3 linked regions of the Saccharomyces cerevisiae S288C genome follow. Changing the gene in region 3 together with the main gene of any one other region gives a genetic interaction. Each region holds a gene or a part of one and is shown on either strand. Other genes may lie near its edges.

The links.
Region 1: of TOR2 (region 3) and RHO2, extra expression of one rescues a mutant of the other (dosage rescue), as found in Saccharomyces cerevisiae (3 studies listed by BioGRID).
Region 2: mutations in TOR2 (region 3) and TGS1 together harm fitness more than expected from each alone (negative genetic interaction), as found in Saccharomyces cerevisiae (3 studies listed by BioGRID).

The regions. Positions count from the first base shown.
Region 1 is NC_001146.8:454,720-457,643, reverse strand, and holds RHO2 (Rho family GTPase RHO2), read right to left. Parts: upstream 1,080-2,924; coding exon 501-1,079; downstream 1-500. Other genes in the region: NST1 (Nst1p), read right to left, coding at 1,514-2,924.
Region 2 is NC_001148.4:252,761-256,349, reverse strand, and holds TGS1 (RNA methyltransferase), read right to left. Parts: upstream 1,537-3,589; coding exon 589-1,536; downstream 1-588. Other genes in the region: pheromone-regulated protein PRM4, read left to right, coding at 1-437; AIM44 (Aim44p), read left to right, coding at 2,040-3,589. UniProt on the Saccharomyces cerevisiae protein: Catalyzes the two serial methylation steps for the conversion of the 7-monomethylguanosine (m(7)G) caps of snRNAs and snoRNAs to a 2,2,7-trimethylguanosine (m(2,2,7)G) cap structure.
Region 3 is NC_001143.9:61,464-65,225, reverse strand, and holds the start of TOR2 (phosphatidylinositol kinase-related protein kinase TOR2), read left to right. Parts: upstream 1-1,866; coding exon 1,867-3,762. Other genes in the region: MNN4 (Mnn4p), read left to right, coding at 1-1,296. UniProt on the Saccharomyces cerevisiae protein: Phosphatidylinositol 3-kinase homolog, component of both TORC1 and TORC2. TORC1 regulates multiple cellular processes to control cell growth in response to environmental signals. Nutrient limitation and environmental stress signals cause inactivation of TORC1.

The sequences.
Region 1 (2,924 bases), on a different chromosome or scaffold from region 3:
GGTTTGCTCTACGACGTGGTTGGATTATATGAAAGATGATCTCCTCTTTTCTTTTCTTTTTGTCTCCTTCGGCAATTCAATAATATGTTTACATTATACTGAAAAAAAAAAGACGCGTCCTACTGGCGCGTCTTTCACTCATCGCCTCGTAAGGAATTCGAATACAAATAGCGTAAATAAGTAAATAAGTATATAAACGAAAAATAATCAAACTAGGCAGTTCCGTTTAGCTCATCGGCGCAGTACCTTGAGCTATGGTTTGATGTGCCATTTTCTTATATCCGTCGGAAATTTTGCTTCTGGTAAAGGCTCTCGAATAAGAATCTGTAGGACATTAACGAACAAACATATCGAATGGGTTTGTGTTTTATACATGCACTATCGATAAGCCTTTTTAACTTATTCCATTATATCTATGAAATTTGATTAAAATTATAATACGGTATTGTTTTTCCCTCCCTTGCTAAAAAGATAATGTATCATTTCAGTGTAAGTTTTTTTTATAAAATTATGCAACAGTTAGCCCCTGGTTCCTTCTTCATAAGCAAACTGGTTCTTGTAGCTACTTCAAAGACATCATCCACACCCTCACCAGTCAGTGCACTACATTCCATGTATTTCTTGGCCCCAATGGCCCTTGCAACTTGTTTTGCATCTTCAATGGGAACCATTTCATCGGTAGCATTCTCTTTAAAATGGGCTTCTTGCCTCAAATCTTTTTTCAAGCCTACAAGAACGATTGGTGCGTCAGGACAATATCGTAATGCCTCATCCGCCCATTTCGTCCTTGCGTTAATTAGTGATTCAAAATTGTCTACAGCAAACCCAATTAATATTATATCTGCTTTTGAATATGAGAATGGACGTAAACGTTCATATTCCTCTTGTCCCGCTGTATCCCAGAGCGTTAAGGACACTTTTATTCCGTCAACTCTGCAATCAGTGACATAATTCTCGAACACTGTCGGATGATATTGTTCAGGGAATTTTCCTAATGTAAATACATATAGTAAAGAGGTCTTGCCACAAGCACCATCACCAATAATAACAAGTTTCCTTCTAACGGCCTTTTCAGACATAGTACGGGATCAAAAGCACAACCAAAGCAGAACGTTTCAGCAATTGATGTCTGCACACAAATCGTTTACAGCGGTATGCAAGGGCAGTTTAATTAAGACTTAATCTGGGGACTTTTGGTTCAAATTATCAGAATAACTACCTTTGGAGAGTTGCGCTTTGAATAATTGTTGTTGAACAATTGATATATGTTATACCTAAAAAAGAGTGTACCGAAGTCTATTATCATATTCACATTCCTGCGAAAAATGGAAATTAAATGCCGGGTAAGATGTATGGGGTGTCGCAGCCTCACCTCTAAAGCCACGACGGTAAGAAAAACCGACGCGTGGCTCACATCGAGTAGAGAGATGTACGATTGTTTAGTGTCTCTTCTGAAATTTCGTCGAATTATGTATGTATGTAAATATTTTTGGCCCTGCGTACCGGAGCAAATTTAAGACGTTTGCGTAGTTGAAGAGGCAATTGGAAAACTAGCCCTTGTGGAGGTATGAGGCCTTGACGTAAATGGTGTAGCAGTTGGATCGTTCAATCCACTAAAGAGTTGATTCAGCAACCCCTTTGAGTGGCCAGCGGGAGTTTGTCTCGCAAATCGAACGTGGGTAATGGATCCATTGTTATCAGTAAAGAATTCGCAATTGTAGGCTCCTTGCATGCTTATCAATTTGTTGATAAACGTCGAGTAATCCAAGTTAAGTCCTACTAAATTTTGGAATAGTGTCCCGATAGCAATGTAGGGGTTTAAACTATCTTGTGGGGAAATAGCTAAATAAGTATTGTAGATGCTATCCAGAATGTGGCTTTCATCCACTCCACTCGAAATTTGAGGGGATTGAAGGACGTTGCTAGTCAAATATGGTGAATTGTATTGACTGTTACTAGACCAGATATTTGATGCCATGAACGCAGGGCTATCTTGCGCAGTACTAGTTATATTGCGACCGGAAAGCTCGGATTTATTCATCATCGGAGTGGTGCTGCTGTCCCAGATAGAAGTTCGATTTGGAAACGATTCAACGCTTCCTAATGTAGGTGCGAGCAGCATACCGCTTTGTATACTGCTGTTGTTAAAGTTTCCTGCAGTCGACGGTCCCGAAAATGAGCTTTTTTGATCATTCCACACAGAACGCTGTGATGGGGGGAATCCTGATGATGAAAGTGATGTATCTGCGAACCCGGAAGAAGAAAGCATGCTAGTTAAAGTGTTCAACTCGTCGGTAAACGATTTACGGTGAGTACCACCATTAGGTAGTCCAAAAGATGGCATTGTAGCTTGAGGACTAGATTTATGGGCTTGTGATTCCATTTCTGAAGTTTGAATAACCGGTGGTTTACATGTAGGATTTATGGACATTGTATTTGTCAGACCACCCCAAGATGATAAACCAAAGTCATTTGGCAATAGCTTAGTTGGCGATGAATTATTATGCATCAATAGACTTGTATTTTCCAGAGTTTGTGAGTTCATTAAATAGTTGTTTTCAGTCTGTAAAGAAGATTTTGTAGCCAAGTCTAACGCATTCGGAATAGTTGTAGTTCCAAAATGGTTGTTTTGATTACCTGGCTGTGGCAAGTGTGATTGTTCCATAGCAGGCATCTGGTTGTTAGTTGAAGGAAGAAGTAGATCATGAACGTTAAAGCCTGTGGGTGAAACTGGTTTGGATGCAGCCACGCTATTAACCATTTTAAGTATTTCATCGTTGATACTGCAACTATTATCCTCTTGGTAGTTAGTCATGTTGGGATGTGATTGAGATGAAACAGGGTTGCCAACTCCATTCTCAGTAAAAGGTTTGGCGGAAAGTATGTTCGCAGATGTTTGTTCTTCGTTTAATTTCTGTTTTCTT
Region 2 (3,589 bases), on a different chromosome or scaffold from region 3:
CATCTTCTCTGGCCTTGCAGAAAAACTGCGATCACAAAAAATTCGACCCTAGAACAGATTTTCTAGATATAATAAGAACCTCTCCAGCGGTATTATTCATTAAATCATCACAAGCAGACTCCATTTTCTTAAAAAATCTATTACAAAGAGAATTTGAGATTTCACCCGAATTGGCCACTGTTGATTTGGAAAAACACTCTCATGGCTATGAATTAGAAAAGTATATCAAACAAAATAAACTAAATATCGATACTAGTGCTGCCTTGGAATCCATTCAGTCGCCTTATTTATTTTTGAATGGTATTTCCGTGATAAATCGTGGAATGGTGAGAGATATAATCGAACCTCATTCGAAGGGATTGCTACTACCTCTTCTAAAGTCTGAAGCGCGTGGCAACTTGCTGGTAGAAAAAAAAGACATCCCTTCTAATTCTTAATTTGTTATCACTCCTATCGACGAGCAGCCGCAGCTAAAAGAACGTTTTAATTATTCCCAAATTCACGTAAGCGATCCTCTTTATGTGCTATATATACATTCATAACATAGTCATTGCATTTTCTATCATACGATTCAACTTGAACAAGTGTTTAACCATTTACGTCGTAAATGTCTACAGTATTATCTTTGGTCGTTGTTGTGGATTCATGCTTTTTTCTTTTCGAGAGCTCTTCGTTTTCAGAACTCAGCTCTTCCTTTTCGGACGACTCCCTTCGACTATTCTCCGTACTTGCTGGTTCGTAGTTAAAAAAGCATTCCCCCCACATGCAAAATATTCCTTTCATATATCCATTCTCCTTTACATATAATACTTTACATTTGGCAAATGGACCTAGTACTTTCCTCGTAGCTCGAGAAAGCTGGTTCAAATCAGAGTTCCTTGGCAAAAACATAATCACATTAGGGCTTAGTTTAAGAAAACTTTTCAACATCTTGGTAATCCCCATAGGCTTTAGATGTTGCTCTAAGTCATACACATCGTTTCTTAAGTATTCTGGACCACCCCACGGGGGTGATCCAAATACACAGTCGTACTTTATTTTGGAAAGTTTCTGCTTAGAGACTAGCTTTTTCCAGGATCCCCGCTTCAGCCATATTCTGTCGTCCACACCGTAGCTTTGGGCGTTTTTCGCAGTACAATATATGTGTTCAATACTGTAGTCCACTCCATAGACGTAAGGAAATTGCATGGCAAATTGTATGGTGTTCCCGCCCCCACCACAGAAAACATCCAGTATTCTTTCGGCATTTGGCATGCATGCCTTAACAAAATTTGCCAGGAAGCAGGCAATTCTTTCGGGCGTCACACTGAACCACAGCTCATCAGTCATATATATCGACGCCGAATCTATCTTTGAAAACAATCTACGCCTATTTTTCCAGTATTTGAAAAGTTTACCATTTTTCAACGGTTTTGATGATTCTATCTTATAGGCATCATTGTTCAATAATTTGATCAGAGTTCTAAAGTTGGAATGATGTTTTCTTTTGCGTGCCGCATGTTTTATTTTCGAAGCATGAATAAATGTCCTTCCCATCACTTCAGTTAAATCAACAAAAATTTTTTCTTCTACTTCTGTCTGTTGCCCCCACAACACGGTATATAATATGGGCAATCAATACAACGAAAAACTTACTCGCTGTTTGCGGAATAACTCACTTCCCCTTCATATAGTTTGGTGCGATGCCTTAGAATTTTTCATACATTGTTTTCATGTGGAAAATATTCAAAAAAAGCGATGGCTGGCGAAGATAAAAAAAAGGCTGCTCCAGCCATTCATTACACAGGCAATTCAATATTTCGGTTAGTAAGATAAAGAAGTCGATATGCCTATCCTTAAACATGTTCAACTGGGATAACCAGATTGCTGGGCTTTCAGCAGGTCATCAATTCTTGTACAAATATGTTGTATATATAGATTTAAGTGCTTGATAATTCGGTTGACAACTTAACGGCTTAACAAGTAAAACAAGAACAATTAACTTAACAATAGTGCTCAAATAAATTTGGCTTATTATCACAACAAATATATCATACGGAATGATCATCAGAGCTCCAATAAGGACAAAAACCAAGTCGTTTAGAGGCGATCAAATGGATTTTAAATTCCCGTCTAACGAAAGTTTACCAAGAGGAACGCTAGAAGAGTACCATTTGAATAATCATCATCTTTTAAATGATGTGTTTGCAGCAGAAAATGGAGTTTCTCGCGATGAAGACGGAAACTCTCAAACATTATCAGACTATACATCCACTTCCAATACAAATACAAATTCCGGTTATTCATCAAATGGATACTATTCATTTGCTAACATTTCTGACAATACTACGTCTTCACCACGTATTGTAATCAATCAAAATGAAACCGCTAGATTAACTTCCTCAGACTCGAACAAAAGTGACTTTTTTGCTTCTCATGACTTCCCAGGAAATGACTCTCTTCATTATAGCAGCTCAAATGTAGTTAAAAACCAGTTACATTCAATGGAAGCTATTCCAGAGGGAAACATAACTGGCTCAATCTCAACGGCATTCCAGACTATCCCAACAGCAGATAATGTTTCCTACGATATCGCGCCGTCATCAGCATCATCGTTATTACCAAGGAAATCGACATCTAAAAGCGCCATTCTGCCGTCGACCCAAGAAGCCAAACCGATGACCAAATTAAATATGGAAAAGGATATAAAAACTATCGAATTAAACAATAGCGTAGTACCGAAACCTAAAAAAAAGCTAAACAGAGTTCCGACCATAAGACGAGTTGAATCCTCGAGGTTTTCCAATTCCAGGTATAGTTCAAGTGTCAGCAGTAAATCAAGTAGCAGTCGTTGTTCTCTAAAACGATCAAAAGCTATTAGATGTAAGGGCGGACTCTTATATTATTTCACCTCATTGGGAATCAAGATAAAGAAAAAGTTACGGAAATTACGGCTAGTTTTAAGAAGAAGACTGTTTTCATATAATGTTCAAAAGGTCCCCTCCGCCACGAATTCCAAAACCACTAAATCTAAAGCAAACATTAACAACAAGTCAAAAAAAAGAGGGACGAACCTAGTCAACAAAAACAGCAACTCTACTCCGCGTCAAAAAAAATCGCAGAGATACGTCTCTAATTTACAACGGTCGATCTCATCAAAATCTTTAGTACCTGTATTGGCTCCACAAAAAAAGACTAAACCTTTGACAGTTGATACGAAATTTAAAGCAAACCATCCCCAATCTGAAGATTCCAAAGTTGGATCAAACACCCCAAGGAGCCCTTTGGTAAGCTATACTCCATCATTGAGAAGAACAAATTCCTCTATTAGAAGGGCTGCATCCATCCTAACCGCATCTGCCACTATGACACCGGCAAATAATAAAAACTCCTTCATTTCTGTACCGGATAATGTTAGTCATGCCGTCACTCGCAACAGCAGCATGTACTCGAGGTCAAGATTGGTAAGGTCAAAACCATCGACGGCCCTAAATGCAATTGCAAGACAGCCATCAATTGTGGTAGAAAATAAAGTTATTCCGTTATCCATGAATCGATATTCTATTAAAGAGGAAGACGAATATGTAATTGATACTAGTTCTATGAGAGA
Region 3 (3,762 bases):
CCTGATAGATATGCATTTGATGCTTACAAAAATACTGCTTATTTGCCCGAATTTAGATTTTGGTTCGACTATGACGGGTTAAAGAAATGCAGTAATATTAATTCATGGTATCCAAACATCCCCAGTATTAATTCATGGAATCCGAACCTCTTGAAAGAAATATCGTCTACGAAATTTGAGTCGAAACTTTTTGATTCCAACAAAGTCTCTGAATACTCTTTCAAAAACCTATCCATGGATGATGTTCGCTTAATTTATAAAAATATTCCAAAAGCTGGCTTTATCGAGGTATTTACTAACTTGTACAATTCCTTCAATGTCACTGCATATAGGCAAAAGGAATTGGAAATTCAATACTGCCAAAACCTGACATTTATTGAAAAAAAGAAATTATTACATCAATTGCGCATTAATGTTGCTCCTAAGTTAAGCTCCCCTGCAAAGGACCCATTTCTTTTTGGTTATGAAAAAGCTATGTGGAAGGATTTATCAAAATCTATGAACCAGACTACATTAGATCAAGTTACCAAGATTGTTCATGAAGAATATGTCGGAAAAATTATTGATCTGTCCGAAAGTTTGAAATACAGGAATTTTTCACTTTTCAACATTACTTTTGATGAAACTGGAACAACTCTAGATGATAACACAGAAGATTATACTCCTGCTAATACTGTTGAAGTAAATCCTGTGGATTTTAAATCAAATTTAAACTTTAGTAGCAACTCCTTTTTGGATTTAAATTCATATGGTTTAGACCTTTTTGCGCCAACTTTATCCGACGTTAACAGAAAGGGTATTCAAATGTTTGATAAGGACCCTATTATTGTATACGAGGACTATGCTTATGCCAAGTTACTTGAAGAAAGAAAGCGGAGGGAGAAGAAGAAGAAGGAGGAAGAGGAGAAGAAGAAGAAGGAAGAAGAGGAAAAGAAGAAGAAGGAAGAAGAAGAAAAGAAAAAGAAGGAAGAGGAAGAGAAGAAAAAGAAGGAAGAAGAAGAGAAGAAAAAGAAGGAAGAAGAAGAAAAGAAGAAGCAGGAGGAAGAGGAGAAAAAGAAGAAGGAAGAAGAAGAGAAGAAGAAGCAGGAAGAAGGAGAAAAGATGAAGAATGAAGATGAAGAAAATAAGAAGAATGAAGATGAAGAAAAGAAGAAGAACGAAGAAGAGGAAAAAAAGAAGCAGGAAGAGAAAAACAAGAAGAATGAAGATGAAGAAAAGAAGAAGCAGGAAGAGGAAGAAAAGAAGAAGAACGAAGAAGAGGAAAAAAAGAAGCAGGAGGAGGGGCACAGCAATTAAAAGTCGGAGAACCTGACTGAAAATTCATGAATCTCTTCATTTCTATAGCCTTTCCTCTATGCATTTGTATTATATATTTATTACCGTCATTTTTTACATACTGCTGCATTTTGGCGCCAGTGATAAGTGGCAAACAATTCGACGGAATCGTGGTAATTATACCACGTTACTCTATAACATCATGATATTGCAATTAATCAAACATACATTTAATCTTAATGCTATTAGCTTACTACAACTCTTTTCTTTAAGTTATATCGTATATTTCTTGGGCGATGTCAGAATATTTACCCGGATATTCCTTTTTAAGCACTGAATATGTTTGAATAGAGACTGACATATATGGCAGCAATTAAAATTGGAAGAAATGTAATGACAGTAGGAAAGACCAATTTTTATCATCGTGACACCAATCACTTCCTTAACTGAGCTTTACTTGTATTTATTTACAGGTAGATTAGGAGCAGTAGAAAGGGAAAATATACCGGGTGCATAAAGAGCATAGTCATTAAGATCAAATAGTTATCTTTCTCAAAGAGATTTCTGATCTTTACTTTCCCCATATGAAAAATGAATAAATACATTAACAAATACACCACGCCACCTAACTTATTGTCTTTACGACAAAGGGCCGAAGGCAAACACAGAACAAGAAAGAAACTTACACACAAATCGCACTCCCACGATGATGAGATGTCAACTACTTCAAACACAGATTCCAATCACAATGGGCCCAATGACTCTGGTAGAGTGATCACTGGTTCTGCTGGTCATATTGGTAAAATATCCTTTGTAGATTCAGAACTAGATACAACATTTTCTACTTTAAATTTGATTTTTGATAAACTTAAAAGCGATGTGCCACAAGAACGAGCCTCTGGCGCTAATGAATTAAGCACTACTTTGACCTCATTAGCAAGGGAAGTATCTGCTGAGCAATTTCAAAGGTTTAGCAACAGTTTAAACAATAAGATATTTGAACTTATTCACGGGTTTACTTCAAGTGAGAAGATAGGTGGTATTCTTGCTGTTGATACTCTGATCTCATTCTACCTGAGTACAGAGGAGCTGCCAAACCAAACTTCAAGACTGGCGAACTATTTACGTGTTTTAATTCCATCCAGTGACATTGAAGTTATGAGATTAGCGGCTAACACCTTAGGTAGATTGACCGTGCCAGGTGGTACATTAACATCAGATTTCGTCGAATTTGAGGTCAGAACTTGCATTGATTGGCTTACTCTGACAGCAGATAATAACTCATCGAGCTCTAAGTTGGAATACAGGAGACATGCTGCGCTATTAATCATAAAGGCATTAGCAGACAATTCACCCTATCTTTTATACCCTTACGTTAACTCTATCTTAGACAATATTTGGGTGCCATTAAGGGATGCAAAGTTAATTATACGATTAGATGCCGCAGTGGCATTGGGTAAATGTCTTACTATTATTCAGGATAGAGACCCTGCTTTGGGAAAACAGTGGTTTCAAAGATTATTTCAAGGTTGTACACATGGCTTAAGTCTCAATACGAATGATTCAGTGCATGCTACTCTGTTGGTATTTCGAGAATTACTCAGCTTGAAAGCACCTTATCTCAGGGATAAATATGATGATATTTACAAATCTACTATGAAGTACAAGGAATATAAATTTGATGTTATAAGGAGAGAAGTTTATGCTATTTTACCTCTTTTAGCTGCTTTTGACCCTGCCATTTTCACAAAGAAATATCTCGATAGGATAATGGTTCATTATTTAAGATATTTGAAGAACATCGATATGAATGCTGCAAATAATTCGGATAAACCTTTTATATTAGTTTCTATAGGTGATATTGCATTTGAAGTTGGTTCGAGCATTTCACCCTATATGACACTTATTCTGGATAATATTAGGGAAGGCTTAAGAACGAAATTCAAAGTTAGAAAACAATTCGAGAAGGATTTATTTTATTGCATTGGTAAATTAGCTTGTGCTTTGGGCCCAGCTTTTGCTAAGCACTTGAACAAAGATCTTCTTAATTTGATGTTAAACTGTCCAATGTCCGACCATATGCAGGAGACTTTAATGATCCTTAACGAGAAAATACCCTCTTTGGAATCTACCGTTAATTCGAGGATACTAAATTTACTGTCGATATCCTTATCTGGTGAAAAATTTATTCAATCAAACCAATACGATTTTAATAATCAATTTTCCATTGAAAAGGCTCGTAAATCAAGAAACCAAAGTTTCATGAAAAAAACTGGTGAATCTAATGACGATATTACAGATGCCCAAATTTTGATTCAGTGTTTTAAAATGCTGCAACTAATTCATCATCAATATTCCTTGACGGAGTTTGTTAGGCTTATAACCATTTCTTACATTGAGCATGAGGATTCGTCTGTCAGAAAATTGGCAGCATTAACGTCGTGTGATTTATTTATCAAAGACGATATATGTAAACAAACATCAGTT